Linked DNA regions of Oreochromis niloticus. The protein of the gene in region 1 purifies or fractionates together with the protein of each later gene. This does not show direct contact. Links are inferred from orthologs where the notes say so. Each region holds a gene or a part of one and is shown in the gene's direction. Other genes may lie near its edges.

The links. The genes of interacting proteins can lie anywhere in the genome.
Region 2: the proteins of yap1 (region 1) and rps28 purify together in Homo sapiens (affinity purification with mass spectrometry, with the first as the bait; 3 studies listed by BioGRID). This does not show direct contact. The link is inferred for Oreochromis niloticus from reciprocal best matches to the Homo sapiens genes YAP1 and RPS28.
Region 3: the proteins of yap1 (region 1) and wwp1 purify together in Homo sapiens (affinity purification with mass spectrometry; 3 studies listed by BioGRID, with this or other methods). This does not show direct contact. The link is inferred for Oreochromis niloticus from reciprocal best matches to the Homo sapiens genes YAP1 and WWP1.

Annotation. Positions count from the first base shown.
Region 1 is NC_031979.2:32,236,349-32,243,372, reverse strand, and holds the start of yap1 (transcriptional coactivator YAP1), read left to right. Parts: upstream 1-4,001; 5' UTR 4,002-4,534; coding exon 4,535-4,735; intron 4,736-5,880; coding exon 5,881-6,116; intron 6,117-7,024. Other genes in the region: cep126 (centrosomal protein of 126 kDa), read left to right, coding at 1-34, 128-211. UniProt on the Homo sapiens protein: Transcriptional regulator with dual roles as a coactivator and corepressor. Critical downstream regulatory target in the Hippo signaling pathway, crucial for organ size control and tumor suppression by restricting proliferation and promoting apoptosis.
Region 2 is NC_031982.2:11,422,625-11,429,907, forward strand, and holds rps28 (small ribosomal subunit protein eS28), read left to right. Parts: upstream 1-4,263; 5' UTR 4,264-4,351; coding exon 4,352-4,390; intron 4,391-4,698; coding exon 4,699-4,746; intron 4,747-6,256; coding exon 6,257-6,379; 3' UTR 6,380-6,399; intron 6,400-7,053; 3' UTR 7,054-7,173; downstream 7,174-7,283. Other genes in the region: si:rp71-39b20.4 (potassium voltage-gated channel subfamily V member 2), read right to left, coding at 1,264-1,389, 1,899-2,532, 2,631-3,157. UniProt on the Homo sapiens protein: Component of the small ribosomal subunit. The ribosome is a large ribonucleoprotein complex responsible for the synthesis of proteins in the cell. Part of the small subunit (SSU) processome, first precursor of the small eukaryotic ribosomal subunit.
Region 3 is NC_031974.2:27,338,075-27,345,444, forward strand, and holds the start of wwp1 (NEDD4-like E3 ubiquitin-protein ligase WWP1), read left to right. Parts: upstream 1-4,350; 5' UTR 4,351-4,582; intron 4,583-7,370. UniProt on the Homo sapiens protein: E3 ubiquitin-protein ligase which accepts ubiquitin from an E2 ubiquitin-conjugating enzyme in the form of a thioester and then directly transfers the ubiquitin to targeted substrates.

The DNA of each region.
Region 1 (7,024 bases):
CATGCATGGTCTTGTACTTAGTGATGCACCCTATGTAAGTATTTAGCAGGGATTTATTTCTTTCCTCAACAGAAAGGGTGACTTTGTTGAAGATAATTCATTCCTTAACTTCTGTCTCCATTTTCAGACAAGAGAAGTGAAAGCATCAAACCATAACAAACACTGTGGATCCTCAGCTAACAATCACTCTCGATACCACAAGAAGTCCTGACTTGAAGCTTGTGTTCGCCACAGCAGTCTTGAGCCCTCATCGGTGCACATTATGCTGAAACATGTTGTTGAAACAAGCACTTATTACCCCGCAAAAGGAATTTTTACAAAGTGTGTCTTTTCAAGTAACTAAGGATCTGAAATATAAACAGCCTTGAATTGCAAAGACAAAAAAACCCCATATCAGCAGCCTTAGAGCGCACGTAGCACATGGTCATAAAAGAAAAACAATTTTAAGATACTGATTATCAAGCAATTTAAGTCTGAAGTGCCTATGTAAATGAGAAAGGCTTTAATCTGTTTTTATGTTAAAAAATGCAAAGATGCTCTTGTTTCAATCAACACATGACCAGCCCTGACTACAAAATATACAAACACTATCAAATTGTATATGTTAAATGTTTAAAGTTGCACCACTCTGTATTTATTTTGTATAGTAACACTATGATTTGCTGGACTGTTTTGCAACTATATCAGCAGTGAAGTGAATAAATCTTGTTGTCAGTTTGCTGATAAACTCTGTGTTTGGCAGTGTTACAATCAGTGAATTGACCAAGGCCTGGAAATGGTTTATGAAAAGACGTTTTGCAGCGTTGAAGGTGTGTTCGTCTTTCTTTTATGGCTGTGGAACAGATGATTATGGCTACTAGACTCAACCTACTGGCTCAGCAAGCCAAGCCTCTACCAAAGAGGTTTCCACAGGTTTCTCTTAAGATTGCACCTATGCTGAATTTTATTTTTGCTTTAAGGCTTAATTTATTTAATATTGCCCTCAATCTATAGCAACATCAAAAGACAAAGGATGGTATTATTTGATACTAGTTGTTGTTTAAAGTGTATTTAATTAAAAACTTCTCTGTCTTCCTCGGCAAACAATAGGTGCATTGGGGGAAGACGCTGTAGGGATTATTGATGTGAGCTGCCCCTCCTTCTCCGGCGTGTCTGGGTTTGTCCCTCTGTCAGCCTGCTAGGACTTGTTCCAAGAGCTGAAGGAAGCCCAAGCTCATCTGAACAATGATGGGACTTTTTTATAGCTTAACTGCAGGTTTCTTTGGTGCTCCAAGAAGGAGCTATAAACAGTAATGTGACAATGGTGTCTCATTGCCACATCGAGTCGTGCATCACCTCCTTGTTAGCTTACACCAAACCTGAGAACAGCAACAGAGGGAGACAATGTATTCATTTTTAGCATATGATTATGCCCACAACAGCAGACGCACTTTGACTCATTATATGTGAAGAGATTCTCCAGTGAAACATACAAATTGTCCAATGTGGTTAATTGACAATGAGCATCAGTGTTATTTCTACCCAGTGTGCATGAGACGATTATAAAGGGAAGAAAACTACTTTTATCTGAACTGATGAATGCTGATATTTAACATATTTGAGTCCTACCTATTAACAAGAAACTGTCTAGTAATAATACTTGGACTGCCCCAATAAAAAACAACAACAACATAGGCACGCACACAAATAAACACAATCATGTAGATTAAGTGTTCATGTTCAGATAAATCACTGAAATTCTGAATATTCTGCTGTAGGTTTGCCCTGAAATCAGTTCCGTTTGGCTTGGCACCATTATTGTTCACAGTCATTATGCTATACAATGGTGAGTGTAATGAGCTTTAAGCCTTAACCAGCACAACACCCAGAAACTGAACAAGAAAAGGCAAGAGTGCTGAAAATAAGGGGAGACATTTTCACAGATGCAAGTTCAAACTTGTGCTTTGGTCTGTTGTGAAGCTTAAGCTGTCAAGTATTTTGTCTTCTTTTGTTACAGTCCATTTAACACGCAATGAATGAGTGTCTGGAAAAGCAATATTGCATGCAACGAAAAATGACTGAAACAAACCTTGACTTCTGAATCTGAATATCTTTTGTAATCAAACAATATGCACATGGATGGGAGGTTGGAAATTAAGCTTTACATGTTTAGATCAAATTTGTAATGATAACAATGGCTTAAAAGCTCAGAAAATGAGTGATAGCTAAGATTTATGCATAAAACTGAAAGACTGTAGACAATAAAAAACGTTAAAGTTGACATGCAGTATATCATTTTCATTTATTATTGACTGTATTGTACGTGGTTAGTTCATGTTTAAAGGAAGTCAGAAAGGAAGGGATAGACGCTGCAATAGTTTGGGATAAATACCGATTGTACACTGCAGGGGGCGTGCGAGCCTTCTACTCACTTGACTATAGCAACGGTGTGTCAACATATCTGTAATAGCCAAACAGAAGAGCAAAGCGCTTTACACAAAGTGGACTCATGCAGCTACACTGTAGATCACAGGTTGATTCTGGTTTATAGCGGCCATATAATCGTTTCTAGTAATATCCAATCGAGAGCAGTGAGGAGGATGGAAGGCTGACAAAAAGTGACCAAACTCGGCGTGGTGGGTGGTCCTCTTGGCGCTGCCGGGACACTGCAGTCCATCTCTTTAATGTGTCTGACTGCGTTACAATGATGTAAAAATGGCCACTTTCATTGAAACAATTGCCATTTTTTGACTGGCAGCATGTGTGCAAAGACTGTTTCCTTCATTCATCAAATTAGAGCGACTTTTAAAACAATAATCAAGTATTTCACATATATTAAAAGTTTTCTCACTGTCAGTATTTTACTAATCATTTATTAGACACATCGAAGTTTAGCAGGACAAACATGAATTCCTATCAGTACACTAGTATGGTGGATTACAGCGATGTTAAATGTTTCTAAGATTTTGAAGGTACAGCTTTGTTAAAAAGTATTATCTGTCCAAAAGCATGTGGCTTGTGACTATCAGTCTGTTAAGGAGGTTTACAGTGTCTGTGGATATTTAATAGATCTTCATAATGATGCATTCAGTGGATGTATGGGAAAAGCTGAAACAGAGCCTCTATATCCAAAGAGGGTGGATCTTGACAAAATGATTTCTCAATGGGAGAGGGGCCGCATTAGCATAACAATTGTGGGAACTGCATGGGTCTACTTTTCATGAGCACTGTAACAAAAAAAAGAGAGTGAGAGAAAGACAAAACTGTACTATTACACATAGTGATGATAGTTTTTTTTTTGTTATCTTTGCTCAGATTCTTGGAAAAGTGTTTATCTATATTGTGTCATAATGCTATAAATAAATCCTGCAAAGAAAAATGTGATCTGCCAGTGTTGCTTTAGTCAGATTTTCCGTTTGCAAATGCAATTTATTGTAAGTTATTATGAGCTTTAAGTTCAATATGAATTTGATTTTCGTTTTCTTATTTGTCCTTTAATTTCTTGTTTTTACACTAGAAAACTTTGGTAACTTTGAAAAAAAAAAAACATGTACAAAGTTGTACAAGAAAATGTCACTTTATAGCATCAAATTTGAGTTTAATTTGGTTACATTGCTGTGTTCATTCATTTTCAGTGCATCTGCAAGTTAGTTTAATGAAACTTCCTATATAGTAGTTTCTTTTTCTACGCTGCATTCAGATTTGGGCTAGCAAATGGGCCATAATTTATAAGGTGTTGCCCTGATTGTCCAGTCGAAGATTACATAAACTGTAAAGGATATTACAGTTCCATTTGCTGTCAAAATAAGTAGATGTTAACTTTAAAAGTTGTGACATGTTTTATCAAAAACGTATCTTTTGGCACATAATATTTTACTTTTAATTTCACACGTTATTTAAATTGGGGAAGGTGCCCGCTAATAAAGGGCTTGGCTTTTTCACAGTCTACCTTTAAACGCTCTTGTCCCAATCGGAGCCGTAAGTCCCGCCCTTTATTGGTCATTACGTCACTGGCGTCATAAAGTTTGATGTCTCCTCTCCAAAGTTTAGATCCGACTGGGGCTAAACTTTTTTTTTTTTTTTCTAGAAAGTGAGCTGCGGAGATTTGTACTGCTCACTATGAGCCTTGCTTAAAAGAATATCAACAACAGCTTGGACTTGGCCCGACACTCAGAAAAAGTTGGACTCTTTCACTCAACCGTTTGTGGTGTTTTTTCGTCTTTTGTGGCTGCATCTGCGTTTTTTGGGGGGACGAGAGCATAAATTCCAATGTGGAGTTTATGCGCTTTGTTACGTTAACAAGTATGCCAGCAGGAAACAACAGGAAAAGGCTGTCTTTCATTGCAGATTTCGACAGCTAACACACTTTGGAAGAATATCAAGTGCTCGACTTGTAAAGTTTAGAATGACTCCGAATAACTTTTACTGAGTGTCGTCGAGATTTTCAGATTTCTCCCGGCGTGGAAAAAAAAGTTTGGGATTGACTCACGTTTATTTTTTAACTTCCGAAGCCTAACTTTTTTGGGACATAAAGTTCGAAGACTGTTTTGGGACAATGGATCCGAGCCAGCACAACCCTCCTGCCGGACACCAAATCGTCCATGTACGGGGCGACTCTGAGACTGACCTAGAGGCGCTTTTTAACGCCGTGATGAACCCGAAAGTCAATACCGTGCCCCACTCTGTGCCCATGAGGATGAGGAAACTGCCAGACTCCTTCTTCAAACCACCAGAACCAAAGTCTCATTCCAGACAAGTAAGCCCGCCCTGGTTTTTACTGTGCCCGTACTCAGAAATCACGACTAAAAATCAGGGCCCATCTTGTCGAGCTTCGGCCTTCTGGAGCTACGTGACTGGCACTTAGTTAATAGTTACTTCATCCTTCTTCAGTGCCATTTTTAGCCTTCAGCGTTATTGTTTTATTGGTCAGTCATCTTTGAACACACTTTTTTTTTTAAAGTCTTTAAGATATAATAACTTTATTCAGGCGGACTCGTATTGACATGCTTAAATGAGTGTGCATTTCCATTGATGGGTTGTTTTTTTCCCCCCCTCAAATTTCTATTTAACACATTGCACAGCAAAAAAACAAAACAAAACATTAAAACAGTAAAGGCCGTGAGGGCTTTATAAAACGGCGGAAACATTCTCTTACAGTCTTTGGCCGTAAGTAACCAAGAAAACCGATGAATATTGCTTAGCTTAGAATAAATTGTGAATAGATAAGTGACCATGTAAAAACAATAAGGGATGGTTTGGTTAATAATTCATGTATAGCTATTTGCAGACGGATAACCGTCATGTTCGCATCATCTTAAATTTTCTTTCTAATCCGACTTTTTTATGTAAACAACTTGATTTGCTGACAGGAAATCATATGATGGTTAAATTATCCTATATTCACCCACAGCCCCTCCCCGATCCCTTCTTCCATTTCCAGCACTTCCAAGTTACCGGTCGCTCCCCATAACGCTGAGGATTTTTTGTACTAGTGCGCATGCGTGTTGGTGGCGGGCCCTGGATGCCTCCCACACCCGAATAAGTCAAAAACATGCCTTCACATGCACATGAATAGAATTTATATACACTTTAAAGTGATTATGAATTATAAGGAGTGACTCAAATATTAAATGGGTAGAAATTATTTAGACTACTACACAAGGTCATTAAATTAAGACTGTTCTGTTTTTCGTTTCTTAATCCATTATTGCACTTGTATTTGAAACGAACAAAGCCACATATATTTTTTTTATTCTTTCATAAATGTTTAGTTTGTGTTTACATTTTCGTATTGCCTTTTTTAATTATTACATGATAATTGATGTTTTGAAGTAAGGATTTTCACTCAAACTCCCCACAGAAAACTGACTCAGCTCTTGTTGTCTCTCAACCCCAACACAGGCCAGCACCGATGCTGGGAGTGGCGGAGTGCTCATCCCTCACCATGTCCGTGCACACTCATCCCCTGCTTCCTTGCAGTTAGGAGCTGTTTCTGGTGGCTCACTGTCTGGCATGGGCTCAACAGGGGCCTCTCCTCAACATCTTCGTCAGTCTTCTTATGAGATTCCTGATGACATGCCCCTACCAGATGGGTGGGAGATGGCCAAGACTGCCTCTGGCCAGAGATACTTCCTCAAGTATGTATGCTGCCATGAAGTGCATCATACAGTTTGTAAAAGTCTCAAAATGCTTGCAACCTGAAATGTTTTGAAAAGTCAGTGATATTCATTACATTACATTTTAATACCATCACAATCACAGGTTCAAAGTTTTTAGTTTGTCACAATGAAAGTTACCAAAGAATTGGTCTTGTGACAGGTCTCTATAGAGACCTCTGTACTACAAAGCAGGATTTAATCTTATCTGGGTAACTTCTGGATTACCTCTGAAGTTTAACCCTTAACCCTAACCTGCTCCGGAACAGGTTAGGTTCCTGATTAGAGATCAGCAGGTATGAAATCACCGCCTACTGACCAGGCAGTTTGTTGGAAACTGGCATCACCCTTCCTGAAAAATCCCACTGTGGGTAGAGTAGATGGTTTTTCAGTAGTGTCTAAAGTCTTTGTGTTAACCTGTTGAGCATCAGTGATAAATATAAATTCATTCCCATGTTGTCAGCAACAATCTATTCTTTGATAAGTGTTAGTCAGTAATATATGATCCTAAAACAGGACACCTATACTGCACTTTCTAACCTAATTTCAAATTTGTACATAGACTAAGCCTATATTTGAATTCTGTTGTTGTATTTTAACTTAATCTTAAATACTTAAAAGACACAGCAGCTGTAACTGTTTTATGCAAATTTGAAAATGATTGGAATACTTGATAACAGCTCATCAGGTTCTCCAATGTCTTAAGGGGATATTTTTATCGATTAACTCACACAAGTGGCTACACTTTAATAATAGCTTTCTAACCAAAGTGGATACAAATACTTACATCATTTATGTAACCTCTTCATATTTTTCTAATTTTAAAGTTTACTCTTCCTTTGTAAAATCAGCTTCTAGTACACTAATCAGTGTGATTGGTCAGACATTAC
Region 2 (7,283 bases), on another chromosome or scaffold:
GGAAGTTTGGAATAAATAGGCTCAAAAAACCTTCCAGGAAAGTAGTGCTACATTTTATATTTCTTGAATTCAATCACTCTGTCTGGCTACAAATGAGACGCATTACGCAGCATTAGAGGGAATTAGACACGTATAAATTCACAGCTGCCACCAGATAAATGAAAACCATGTCCTCAGATGATACTGAAAGACACACAGAGTACCAGGCTGGTGACACAGTGTGACCCATGTGAAACTTCCTAGAAATGGTGTGATGTTCATACCTCTAAACATTGATCGTTTATATATGAAGCTTGAAAGCAAATTTGGGTTTCTATTATACACACATGAGTGAACATATATTGTGGCATCCAGACAATGAACTCAATCAGAAGAGTGCTCAGCATAAGTTACTGTTTAACCATATGACAGCTTGGTGGCCACCAGTAGCCATTCTCCACATCTGTATAGGCTAGATAATTTATATCAAGTTTATGTGACCCTGGAGTTGCTCCACACCTTTCTCTTCATGTCAGATATAGTACCAATTATGGAAGATACTTTGGGTAAGAATTACACAAAGGCAAATCCTACATTTATTATAGTTAGTAAGTTTTTCTGCAAGAGAGACAATTTCAGAATATTATTTAGCCAACCATTAATTCACTAAAGAAGACTGTGTTTGAGCTCTTGAATATAATCAGTGTTTACTGCATTTTAAAAGCATAAAAATAGCACAGAACATGATCTGTACTGTGAATCTTTGTCTTGGTCTGACTAAGCAGGCAGCACAAATCCAGATAGACCTAATCCCTGACACCCGAAATGCACTGCACTGCTTGATCATACTGACACACCCCAACTGAGCTTCCCTTCAGCGCTGTCAAGAGGAAGAGCTTACCAAGCTTCATAACTGAGTTAATTGATCCGGAAGAAGCTGAGTGGCAGCCGGTAAGAGCCGGCTACACGCTCTAAATGCTGTAAAACATTAATTGCCCCATTCATAATGAAAAGATGTGGAGCAACTGTGGTGTTATAAGTAGGGTTACATCATCAGTGTGGCTGGACCTAAAAATTGGACTTGAAAATATTTTCAAAAATAATTTACAAAATCATCACAGCTGCCATTAAAAAGAAGAAATAATTCCCAGAAAGCTAAAACTTTTATAGAAATCACTAAAAGACACAAAAAACCAAATCTGATGTTTTGGCTATACTGCATTTGTAGCAAGCATCCCAAACATAATAGAACTTTACTGGACGTAGAGCTTGTCCCGTACTCACCGCAGCCCACCACCAGGCATCCGGTATGCTGCTGAAAGGTGTCCCGGGCTGATCCACCTCCACAGAATGCATCAGAGCAGAGAAGGTGAAGATGCCCATGGCGATGAAGAGAAACAGACAGCACACCTGCAGCACGACAGAACAGAGCACGTCAACGACAGCGCTTGTTTATATGAAACTATAAAGCAGTTACTATTTTAGGGGCTTGCATCCAGTAATATGACAATTTGAGATGTTACTATAAAGCCTTCCTGACATTTCTGCACTCGACGGGCTGTGTAAGCTTTGTTCAATTAATCGCTTTTAAACACACGATATGCAAAATTAATAAATGTGATATTATGTTACATTAGTGAAGTTTAGAGCTGCTGGTAGGTGGATTTTGTTCTTTATCATAGGCTCTTGAAGCTCTCTCTTCAAGAAATAAAATATGCACATTTAAATAGATTGTGATATCCTGTTGTAACACTATCATAAACTTCTTCTCCACTTCTCTTCTCCTAGTGGTGACTTTCACATAAAACTACCTCCTGTTCCTCGTATGTCTCTTCAGAGCCTTACTTACGAGTTGCCATGTTATTCAAAGGCCTTCAGATGTTACCAGCATTTGTGTTTGTTGTTTATTCCCTTCATACCTGTTCAGAGCACTGGCGGATGGTGAAGCCAAAGGCCCTCATGCCGGTGGAGTGACGGGCAAGCTTCAAGATACGGAAGATGCGCATGAGCTTGACCACTTTGAGCACCTTGCTGACTTTGCTGACTCTCGACATGGCCTTCAAATCCTCCTGAGCACTGATGTCTTCAGAGTCTAACACAAAAGTCTCAAAAATGATCTGGAGGAAGTAGGGCATGACGGCTACCAAATCGACAAAGTTGAGGGCGCTCTTCACAAAATGCTTGATGTTTGATGTGGTGAGTAGTCGCAGAAAGTACTCCAACGTGAAGAAAAGGATAGAACTAACCTCCACCCACTCCATGTAGGTTTTGCCTGCAAGTTTGTACTGCCTAAGTTCTTGGACTGTATTCAGAGTCATGGCAACGATAGAGATAAGCACAAAGAGACTGGAAAACACTGCAAAGGCTTTGGCTGACAGTGAGGAGTAAGGATTCTCCATCAAGTCCCAAAGTGCTTTACGAAAGTCTCCAAGAAACATGGTCTTGTAGCCCTCGTCATCATGGTGAGGTTTAATCTCATCAATGAGCTCCTGGTTAACCTTCAGGTGTTCTCTGATGTCGTCCAGTTTCTCCTCAAACAGAATGCGGCAGCACCTGAGAAAGACAGACAAATGCTTTACCATAGCTACTTTTTAAATACCCACAGACAAAGCCACAATAGATACAGTGCATATCAAATATCTACAGCGCACCTTGGAGTATCCTTCAGTTTGAGCCCCCAGAATGAGATCTCTTCCTCAAAGTTGACAGGACACAGGCTATCCATCACCCACAGAACATTACTGCAGTAAAAGTGAAATATGTAATGGAAAAACATGGGGTCCCTGTCAAAGAAGAACTCGTTGTTCTGAACATTATAATCGTCACAGAGCGTCAGACGCTTAACTGGATCATTGCACAGAGCAAGGACTCCGATCCTGGTCTTTGGGTATCGGAGGACCAAGTGTTTAGGGATGTGAAACACCTTTCCGCCCACATTTAGGTTGACAATGTTTGATTGCCAGGGGTTTGGTGCATCCTTCTTCTCATCTTTTTTCACCTCTTTTCTGTCACCAGGAGTGTCAAGGTTGTCCATAGATGTCCATGGTTTTACTGAGCTGTCCTGTGAAAAGGGGAATTCACTCTCCTCCTCTTCGATGCTGTGCGTGAAACTCGCATCGCGTTTTACAGATGCAAAAAGACTGGAGCGACGTTTTTTTAGAATTTTCCACTTCTCCATTGCGACAGCTTCTCAGAAGATAAATCAGTGGAAAATGTCTTGTGCCAAGTTTGAATCAAGTCACTGGACAAAAATGATCATATATTTTTTCTTTAAATCTACAACATCAAGCAAAATATCACCATGGTTTAAAAAAAATCCTCCAGGTTGAAATAAAGACAAAGAAAGAGCTGTGGTACTTTTCAGTCACTGTGCAAGAAGATCAACTGCATGAGTTAGGGCTTCAGCCTCTTCACTGATTCTCTAATCCTATTGCTGTTCTTTCTGTCCCAGCGCAAGTTAAAAATACTGTTCACAAGGATTAGTGTTGTGATTTAAGGCTTTGACTTCTGAGAGAGGAAGAAAGCCAGAGAGGGCAGTGTCATGACAGTATTGCATGGCTAACAAGGCTACAGAGAGGTTTTACACAGGATATTCAGGTAGATTACACAAACTATCAGCTATGGCCTTTTTGACCTATTGCTGAACTAGTTCAACAAGCCTGATTTTAGAATTAAAGGTTAAATACATTAAAACTAATAATAACTGATAAAAAATGTCTTTGTTTTCTGTATATTCTGCATAGACCCTTAACTGTATTGTAAGGCTCCACAACAAAATCACTGTTTATTACTGATGTGTTTCTCTTTACAATAACTCACTGGTATAACTGACAAAGTATTCATTTTAATATTAACTCAAGCCAACTAAAACCAAAATATACATTATATAACACTGAATGTATTTAATGATGTACTGAATCAGTAACCTTTTTGATACTGACTTTGGATAAATAGGCTGTGTTTTATGACTGACATCCCAAGCATTTGTAGTTAGTCCAGTAACTCAGTATTTGAATTGTCTGTATGTACGCACAAAACAAAGATACATTTACACAGAGACAAATCCCTTTCTCTGTTTCTGCACATTAAAATAGTTTTGTAAACTCTGTGAATAATGGTTTGGCCCAGGTTTTTACCATGGCTGCTTCGAATGGTATTTCCCAATCTACCGGAAAAGGAGGTAACTACGAATGTATAAAAGTTTTTATTAAATTTCGGTATTGTTGTTATTACTCATATGTTTATATTCTTTTACTTGTAATTTGATTTAAAAATAATTTAAAATTAAAAATTTAATTAAACTGAGAAATTACAGTTGCCATATATACCATCCGTGCACCACGTGACTTCCTTTCCGGTCTAGCCTGACAACATGGACGCCAGCCGCGTGCAGCCCATCAAGCTTGCAAGAGTAAGAAAATCTATAAAACGCTGAAAATGATTATATAAAGCACTTAGATACCTACAATAATAAGTATTGTTTCAAATGGGCTCAAAATTTTTAGGCTAAATCCATTTTTTGTGTCGTAGTTAGCAAACGTCTCTTTGGCTCTCGTGCTTCTATCATGGAGGCCTGTCGATGCTATAGTCTCTGCTAGCTGCCGCAGTACTTTCGTGATGCTTAGTTTTATGGATTCTCTATGTTCGTTAAATATATATGTGTGTATTATATTGATTTTAGAGATTTGATGTTCATGTTTCTCGTGTTTTTATTTTCAGGTCACCAAGGTTCTCGGGAGAACCGGTTCCCAGGGACAATGTACACAGGTATGCTAGTTTGGCTAACACCTCAAATTTTGTCCGGGACAAACCATGTCTGCGATTAATGTTTGCCTTTTATACGTTTAAGCTTACTTTGAGTTACTGCCAAGGATATACGCAATCTAGGGCTGTAAATTCATGTGAAAATAAAAACTAAATTAATAAATCAAGGTAAAAATACCTGAAACGATACAAAAAGGGCTAGGATGGAAAATGTAAGAGTTTAGTTTTGTCATACATAATTTGTCTACACATTAATTATGAGAATGTAATGAGGCGGCTGTTTGAAATTTGGACATTTTCTTTAGCTGCAAGTCACGTTTTTTGTTTCTTTAGAAACAAAACAAAAAAAAACTTGATCTGAACTTAATTTTTTGCTGGTGATAAATATCCTCCATAGTGCTATAACTAAAGTCACTAACGCTGAAACTGGGCAGATCCACTGTACCAACTAACTGAAACTAGAGTGAATTATTATCAAAAGTTTAAGATGAAAAACTGATTAAGCTACAAAATATGACTCGCCTGATTTCTTGTACCAGAAATAAGGCAGGTTATTTTGGGGGGACAAAATTTTAAACTGGATTTTAACTACTAATGACATACTTAGGCAAGCCACTGATCCTAACTGGAAACCACGTTTAATAGAGAAACTAGATTTATCTTTAAAATGTATTAATGCATTCATTCATCCATTTTTTTGTCCCCCCCACTTAGCTTATCTCAGTTGTCATTTAGGGTAGCGTGGGGGTGTACCGGTTACTTGGGCTAATGATAGCAATTTATGTTACATTCATATCTATAGCAAACTTAAGCCCCTTTTCTCTTAGTACCTACTTGGATTGATTCGTAACGTTTTCGGGGTTTTCCATTAGGTCACACTACCTGCTCGGCCGGGGTTCCAAAGCAGTCCGAGCAGGTACTAAAATGTTGCATCACCAGACTGCATGCCACTGATTGGCTGGTCAGTGGCGTGATGAGAGCATCACCAAGTCAATCTGAGTAGGTACTAGTGGAAAAGGGGACTATAGTTAACCTAAAATACATGTATTTATACTTCGATTATTCAAACTGCTGTACCACTGTGTTGCCCACTAACTATTTACTTTATTACTAAAATGTGCGTTCACTTGTGTTGTTCACTTGATGGCTTTTACAGCATTGCAGAGTAAGATCCTCAGATACTGTTTTCTGAGAAACAGAGAAACAGCAGGGATCCCCCCCAAAAAAAAGCAGATTATAAAAATAACTTTTTAAAAAATGCCAAAAAATAAATTTTTAGGTATTGTGCTATAAATTGATGATCATGACCACTGATTTATTTTCTGTGTTAACTGGATAGTTTAAACAGCTGAAAAATTTCAAAATGAATATAGTTTTAAAATATTTTTAAATTAAGATTGCTTTGCTCCCTTGCCACATAAATAGGGATGCATGACAAAAACAAAATGAGGAAAAATGTCTGCTGTAGAGTCATTTTAATATTTAAATTTTGGGTGGTCCCGTTTCCCACCAGGTCCGTGTTGAGTTCATGGACGACAGCAACCGCTCAATCATCAGGAACGTGAAGGGCCCGGTCAGAGAGGGAGATGTGCTGACACTCCTGGAGTCTGAAAGAGAAGCCAGGAGGCTGCGATAGGTGAGACCATGTAACCTCAGGTGATCAGTGTTTTGAGTCATTAAACTTGTCAGCATTGGTGAAGCCCACAGTGAGAGTGCTGATGGATAATATGCACTTTGATGATCCTGAACATTATTATTATTAAAAACGTAGTGAACCAAGAACAGTTTAGGATGATAAAACACTGCAGGTGAGGTGATGACAATGTTTTCCATTGTAATATAGTTAACAAAAGTTAAAGATATTCCCATAGTACTAACATGTACTATAGGAATATTTATATTCCTTATATAACCTTATAAGGTTAGAAAAAAACATTAAAAATGGCTTGCAGTAAATGATATTGCAGGGCAATCTGTTTTTGGCTTTGAAATGTCCATAATGAGTCTTAAACTCAACCTAATGCTAAGTTCTCAATACAAATATCTGCAATATTAGGTCATAATTGCATCTGGGCCACTAGTCTGAAGCTCTTATCTAGTTAAAGTGTAACAGAGCTGCACAAAGATTGAGTGTTTTCAGTCCTGTGGTGGTCAGAGGTTGAAGTTTGAATTCTTTAGTCCTCCCGATAGGCTGCTCATGTCTAATGCTGCTCAGTTCAGAGTGTTATCAGTGTTCTGAATTTGGGAATGTATGAGACTTAAACACAGGCTTAAACCCTTCTCCCTTTTTCACTTTTTCTGTCTTCACAGTGCCTACTGAAGCTGCCAATCCAACACTGTGGAGCATCAACTACAGCAGGATGCAGTCACTTTCAGTGGACTACCCACCGCTTGTTCAGATGTTTTGAAATAAATTTGAGTTGAAAATGATCCTTGAAGTCTTCTTTCTTTTATACTAAGTGTGATTTGTTCTTTAATAAACTCGTATATTAGCCTGCCATCATAAACTTGCCTGAGACTAGCAATGACTCATTATTGAT
Region 3 (7,370 bases), on another chromosome or scaffold:
TGGTTATTTACAGACCTAGTTGGTCTCTTGATCAGCTGAATTTGATGAGTTGAAGTAACTTGTGGTCTTGTTCATGGGCAGGGGGAGAGTGGAGCAGGAGATTGACAGACAGGCTGGAACAGCATCTGATGTAATCTCGGTCCTCTATCGGTCTGTTGTGATAAAGAAGGAGCTGAGTGTTAAGGCAAAGCTGTCAAATTACTAAACAATGCTTTTCTACCCTCAACTATAGCCACAAACTACAGATACTACCAGAAAGAATATAATCTTGGATACAAGGTGCAGAAATGAGCTTCCTCTGAAGGGTATCTCGTTCACAATTACAGAGAGGATAAAGATTTTGATTGTGAGGGGCTCAGAGCTGCTGCACCTCCACATTTGAAAGAGCCAGTTGATGTGGGATATCTGGACTATCTATATACTATATACTGGAGCGATTATGTGTCTGGATGGATGGATGGATGGATGATATCTGAGATATGTAAGCCCTTCAAAAATCTGCTGGCACTGGTTAAAAGCTGATGTCCACAAATTGAAATCGTTATCCATATGCACTGCGTAGTTATATCCAATCAATATTTTTGCAGTAATGGGCTGAATCTGAGTAGAGAATATAATCCTTTGCACTTGACAATTAACCCTGCTACAAACAGCAGCATTGACATTATCAATAGAAACACAGTTCCACTGCCATAAATGTCCATGCCATAAGTTCGCCAGGTATGCTGGCGAACTTATGTGGTATGCTGCAGATCATGAGCTGTTTCCCTCTGTCTCTATGCTTTGCTCCTCCTGCCATTCTGGTACAAGTTAATCTGTTTTTCTTCTATACAATATTTTTTGTCCAAACTGTGCACTCATTTAGATGCTTTCTGACAAAGGTCAAACTGTCCTTCTTGAGTGTAACCAGGCATTTGCACTTTGTGGTAAATCCTATACATGTCCCCAATCATGAAATTGCCTGTTGATTGTAGATCAAGCTTTCTTAGATTGCTTATCTTACCCTGTCAAGTTCACATGGGTTCACCTTTTCTGGAGCTGCATATTTTGTTGTCTGTTGGAAATAAGTCCAGTGGCACACATCCAGGAACATTTCCATGTTCTGAAGAATTATTTATTTCATTATTTTTGTGGGCCCAATATAACAATGCAGTTGTGAGGACAAAACAGGTTTAGAGTATGGGTCTCAAACATATGGCTCCTATTGTAAAATGAACCATCTTTCACAGTGTGATGATGCCAAGAACAATTTCTAGATCTCAGCAATTTGTTAGAAACATAAAGTTGTTAAAACGCTATTTTTTTTATTACATTACACATGTGAAGTTTTTGTGTCTTTGTGGCACCCCTTTGCTCTTTCAGTGATAATGTGTGTAATGACAGTAGACTGACTAAATGCATTAAAAAAATTTAGATTAATTAAATTTTAAGAGTGTAATAACTTTTTTTTTAAAGACTTCCCTTTTTATTAACAGTTGTGTAAATTGATTCAAGTTTTAAGATTGCAGTTGTTCTTGTTTACTCTAAAAATTATTTTTCAAACAGGTTAGACAGTGATTTTACTCACTGGGCCATTTGCGATACTATTTTATGTATTTCATTTAAACTGACGTACCCACCTGCAAATAATTCATGTAAGATTACAGAGTTTTCTGTGGCCTCTGGCTCACCAACAAATGAGGGTCACAAATGTAGTAACCCTGGAAGGTTTTGGACCTGTCATTGTAATAAGTCTCCATTATTTTTGCAGACTGAGATGAGCTGTTCACTTGAGAGATGGATGTGTGATGATTACAGTTCTAATGATTCTCATAACATCATTTATTCAGTTTAAATGTCATCCACACCAGGAGTCCAGCATGCACCATACCAGGACCACACAATTCAATAACAGTGTCATCAATTACATCTGCACTCTTCCTGGAATTACACCCATCTGCCTGCCACAGAACAGCAGTTTTTATTTTAGGATTATTTGTTAATTAGTCAATCATTTTAAGCTCAAAAGCATCCCCTTGACTCAAATGCTATTCGAAATTAGGAAACAGATAATTAGGATTTTTACTTCCATGTGCCTACTAACAAAAAACAGTACAGACTGAGGTTCGTTATAATAGTTGATCAATAATACTGAGCGACCACCAACACAGCATCATCTTTAATATAATTCTGAAAAAAAAAACACCCCTTCCAGTTCATGTCCTCCAAATACTTCCTCAAAAAAGAAATTGTAAAAACTTAAACATTGAGACGTATTTTTTAATTCAAACTTTTATTTTTACCCAAATGAAGAATCTTTAATTTTCAAAAAGAAACTTCACCACTAATTTAGGTCCTGTATCTTTATTTTAATTCATGTCTAGGTTTTGGAGTTCAAGGCTTTCAAAACTTCCTTTTAACATAATTTTAAAGAAAGCCTTGCTTTAATTTGCTTTAAAAATGATATTGACTACATCATTTGACATTATTTGTGCAAATTAACAGTTGCAATATTTGGTATAGACAAAAGGCAACAGATCTTAGTAGAAGAACTGTTATTAAGTGTATTAAGCACAGTACTGAGATCTGTCGTCATTTTAGGTTTGGGCAGCTTGGAGTCAATTCTGCATCATATCAAACGGGGAATAGTCAATTTAAATCCCAAGAAAACCTTCACAAATCTTGTAACGAATGTTCTTAAGAAGAGTCTGAAAATTTGACATTAGAGACTCCAAGACAAGTACACATACCAACTAGTTAAACCCACAGAATACTTTTACATTTCTGTTGGATAACAAAGCTTTTTAGCCTTTCGATTTTGTCCCAGTTTACCATCTGTATCTGTGGACTGTTCAGTGGGTAACTTCGATACTCGAACATAACTGACAAAAACTTTTATGATTCTTGTACGTGCATCTTGTGTTATACCCTGTGAGCTGTTGTTCCTGTATAATGACTGCAAGCTTTTCTGAATTTTATTTCATTTTATTGTATTTTATTTTTACTTTTTTGTGCTCCAAACATTTAGCAAAAAAGAGACCTCAATCCCACGAGACGTCCCATTAAACAACCATCAATATCTCTATGTAAAATATAGAAAACTTTTGATTTTTCCAGACAATTTAATATAACATTCATTACTGTAAGATTTTGTAAATCATCAACCACACACATGAAAAAGAGCAGCAGATCCTCTGTAAACAACACCAGCAAGGGTCTGAAATGTGTCTGTATAAGTTTCTCTTTAATATGTGGAAAATAACGTGTTAATTATAAGTCACTGCAGTATTTTTTTGTTTGTTTGTTTTGTTTTTTACAAAATAAAGCTGGCTCCAGAATCTGAATGTACTCTGTATTTTAAAATGATAAAAAAATAAGCATCAGGACACACTGGCAGGAAGAACTAGGCACTGAGCATGTGTGGGAAAAATGTTGTGGCAAATATTCACAGCATCTATATAAATTCTTTGCACACTCTGATACAATTCAGTCTTCCAAAGACTTGCACAGATGAGGTTCTCAAAAGATTATAGATTTTCTAGAATCACTTATTTGATTTCTTCACCAAGGTTTTTAATTTGGAGTGCCCCTTTGCCCCTCTTAAAGCATTATTTGGGGTGGTAGACTCAAGCAGGTTACACATCATGAAGAAGCTCTATCCACAGTGTTAGCAGGAAAAATTCTGCTCCAGTCTAGGAAGTCTGAGACAACTCCAATGTTTGATAAGTGGCTGAAAGAATTAGGAAATTTGCTACACTTGGGGAAAAATATGTAAAGTTAGAAACAGTATGTCAGACACAGTGAGTCTCTTTCAGAAAATCTGGTTAACAATCACAAGTTGAAATCAGTCTCTAATGGTCTTACAGATCAACAACAAGGCAGGTAAAGGTGAACACTAGTAACACATCTAATCGTGTATCTTTCTTCTTTCTTTTAAATATTTTTATTTTCTAAACTTTAAAAACTACAAATATATTTTTAAAAAGCATCAGGTAATATGAGGTTACATTACATCAACACATTCAATTACCACAAATCGGCCTAGTTTTCGTTCCTAATGTATCGGTGCCCGACAGATTTATGGGGGACCTAGTTGGGACGCACACCCCCCTACATCATTTTTCTGGTAAAATTGGTTAAGTAAACGGGAAACGGGACTTTCAGTCAACATTGCCTACAACGTTCAGTAACGTGAAATGTAAAAATAAATAAGTTTTGAGATTAAACAAACAAACAAAGAATATTTTAAAAGGAAAAACAAAAGTTTGGATTTTATTAATAAATTGGATCATGACGAACCGAATATTTTAGTTAAGAGTTTCCGTTTAGACTACATAAAAGTAATAAATGTGCAGTGTATAGCAGTAAGCCTGTTTCGTGCCCCGACTTATTACACGGCAGTATTACCCCTTTTCCACTAGTATCTACTGGGGTGGCGCGCCTGTCGCCCGTGTGTTTTGCTAGTCATAGGCTTCTGTACAGAGATGGCAAGAGAGCCGTAGCAGACTGAGGGGCCTGCTCGGCTGAGGATTTTACTGACAACCGTTGCGTTAGCACACAGCAAAGATACAGAGTGTAGGAAAGTAGAGGAACAGCGAACAAGGTAAAACACCCCTGCTAATGTCACTTAAAGCATTTAGAAAGACGTTCTCCGAGTGTTTAAATAGTATTTCTTGATAAGCCTGTATTTTATATGCAGCCGAACTGGCTAGCTTTGTGATGGCGGACAATTAGCCCAGATGCTAAGTAAGTTAGTCAGATAGCCGGCTAGCGAGCAGCTAACTTGGCTCACCTAGCTAGCGTCTGCTGTAACGTTATAACAATATGCAGATGTAGATTAAGCAAACACGCTACGTTTTTAGTTATGTGCCCGTTATCACCTCTTGGTTTGTCAGATGGATATTATACACACAGTAGAAAGGATAGTCACCTAGCGTTAAGCTACTTTCACAAGACTAAAATTGTTTTGCTTTTTTTTAACTGTAGCTAGCTGGCTACCTTATTGATAGCTAGTTACAGACTAGTACTGCTACACATTTAAAGGTTGTCACCGGGAGTATCTGCACTTATTGTACGTATGTGTGTTGCAAATAGATTTAGGAGGTTAAGTGTCCCAAGGCCAGTAGCTGCCTATTAAGTTACACTTTGTAAGCTAATGCTAGCAGTCAGTAGATTACCCCAAAGTTAGCCGCTGTTCGATAACTGTACCTGAGTTTGTGTGTTATGATCAGTATTTAATATGTAAATTAAGCATTGCTAGCGTATGGCCTGCGAATTGTGTCAAAGTGGAATCAATCTTCTGCTTTATTATCCATTAATCCATGTGACTGATTACCAAACTTTTGCTCGTGAAAGGAAATGATATGTTACCCTTCAACTTTTAAACGTGTTGACATTTCTAGCCTTTGGGTGTTTCTCGGGTCGTAGACAGTGCTTGGCACAGGTGAATGTGAGCCTGACCCTTGAGCCACAGCTGTTTATTTTAGTGTTGCTCCAACTTGAGTTATCCAATGAATAGTGAGTTGAACATGTAACACTTTCAGGGTCTCTAGCTTTAAAGACGAAATTCTGAGCAGAGACAGAGTAAGAGAGACCATATTTATGTGGGCTCCGCTAACACCTGATGAGAATCCCTGTCAGTACTGATTAGGCCCAGTTGCCTTACATTTCCCTTTTCTGGACAGGCTTGGTCTCAAAGAGAAATGGTCTTTCATGGCTGTGTTTGTTTGAGTGGCTGATGCAGGTTTATGTTTATACAGTATCTGCTATTGTATTTCAGGATTCTTAGTGTCTTGCTGTCTCTCTGTCATGAACAGTGGTTTAGTATTTAGGCTATCACATGCTGTGTATGCTAGTGCCACATTGGAAGGAAATTACTTAGAGTAAAGTGTCTGTTAAGGCAGCATTATTTGCCTGCTGGCTCTAAAATATGCTTGTTTTTGTGCTCTCACTCACTTGCAAAGACACTGACCTTTTGAAAAGCAGGAAAGCAGCTGTGGGTGAAATTAGGAGTTGTAGCCTGCTACCATTGTGTAAAGCTTGTGTGTTTTGCCCATGTGAGAGTTTTTTTTTAAGTCTGGCAAAATAAAAGAGAGCTGGACTAAAGAAACTTTAAAGAGCTTTTAGGGTATGGGGTAGCGTAAGAATAATCACCGTCTTATTATTTTGGATAAAGATAAGATTTACTGTATTTGTCTTAAAGTTAGGAAATTCCTGCTACATTAGTTAAAAATTAAAATAAAGAGAACAAACATAAAAATAACCCAAGTAAGTAATAAATAAAAAAAATAACCATGTCAGTCGGTGTCAGGTTAAAAACAATAGTTATTCAGCTTCAGGACTTTTAAACATTTAAATATACTTTATATGCATTTATGCTTCAGTCCTGTTCATGGTCTGCCCGGATGTGTTCTATAGACAGCTGTAGTACAGCGGGCATGTGTGTCTATGTATAAACTGTTATGTGCGTCATTAGGTCACAGGAAGACGGACAGTCCATTAGAACAGACAGCAAAGCTTGTTTGACAGGTGGTGTGAGAAAGGATTTGTCTTGGATTTTTACACACAAAGGTGTACACTTACAGAAACAAGTTGTCTGCTGTGAAGCAGATTTTTTTGTTAGCCAGCCTCTCCTTTGCAACCTTTGGAATAAAGCAGGAACATGATCAGACAATCATCACAAAATACAAAATGCATGTCCAGCAGTAAGCACGTTACTCTTGTTTTGTAGGCAAATCTAACCCTGTGCTAACCCTGCTGGCAGCCAGCATATTAAAACAGATAAGCAGTCCTCGAGCAAAACAAAGAAAACTGAAGTGAACCTAAGATTAAAGGTCCTGTGTTTTTTATGGTTTTATAGGTTTTTTTAATAACTGTGAATTCATCTGGTGTTACCCAAGAATCCAGATCCTACAAATAAAATATTAATTGTCCCCTAGACTTGCTGTTAAACCCCTCCAAGCAGGTATTGAACAGGTTCAAAACAGGTATCTGTAAACACGATAAGCCAAAGTCCTTGGGTGTGTATTAGTTGGGCAACTAACAATTTTCAGATTGTCAGTAACTCTGAGCTGTTAAAAATGTTTAAATTGTATTTCAGAAAACAAATTTAATTGCAATATTAAATCAGCTATTGAGTTATGATCCTCTTTCAACCTTGGTGTTTAGGAGTCAAACACCGCTGTATAAATACCACTCTGTTTCCATATTTCTTGCTCAGAGATGCTGTTTAGTAGTAACCCTCACAGGTCCCACTTTAATCAATACCTGACATAACCCCTGACTTGGGGTGGCTGTATCTCAGGAGGTAGGGTAGGTCATCTACTGATCAGAAGGTTGGTGGTTCGATCCCTGGCTCCTCCCCCTGCATGCCAAATGTCCTTGGGCAAGAT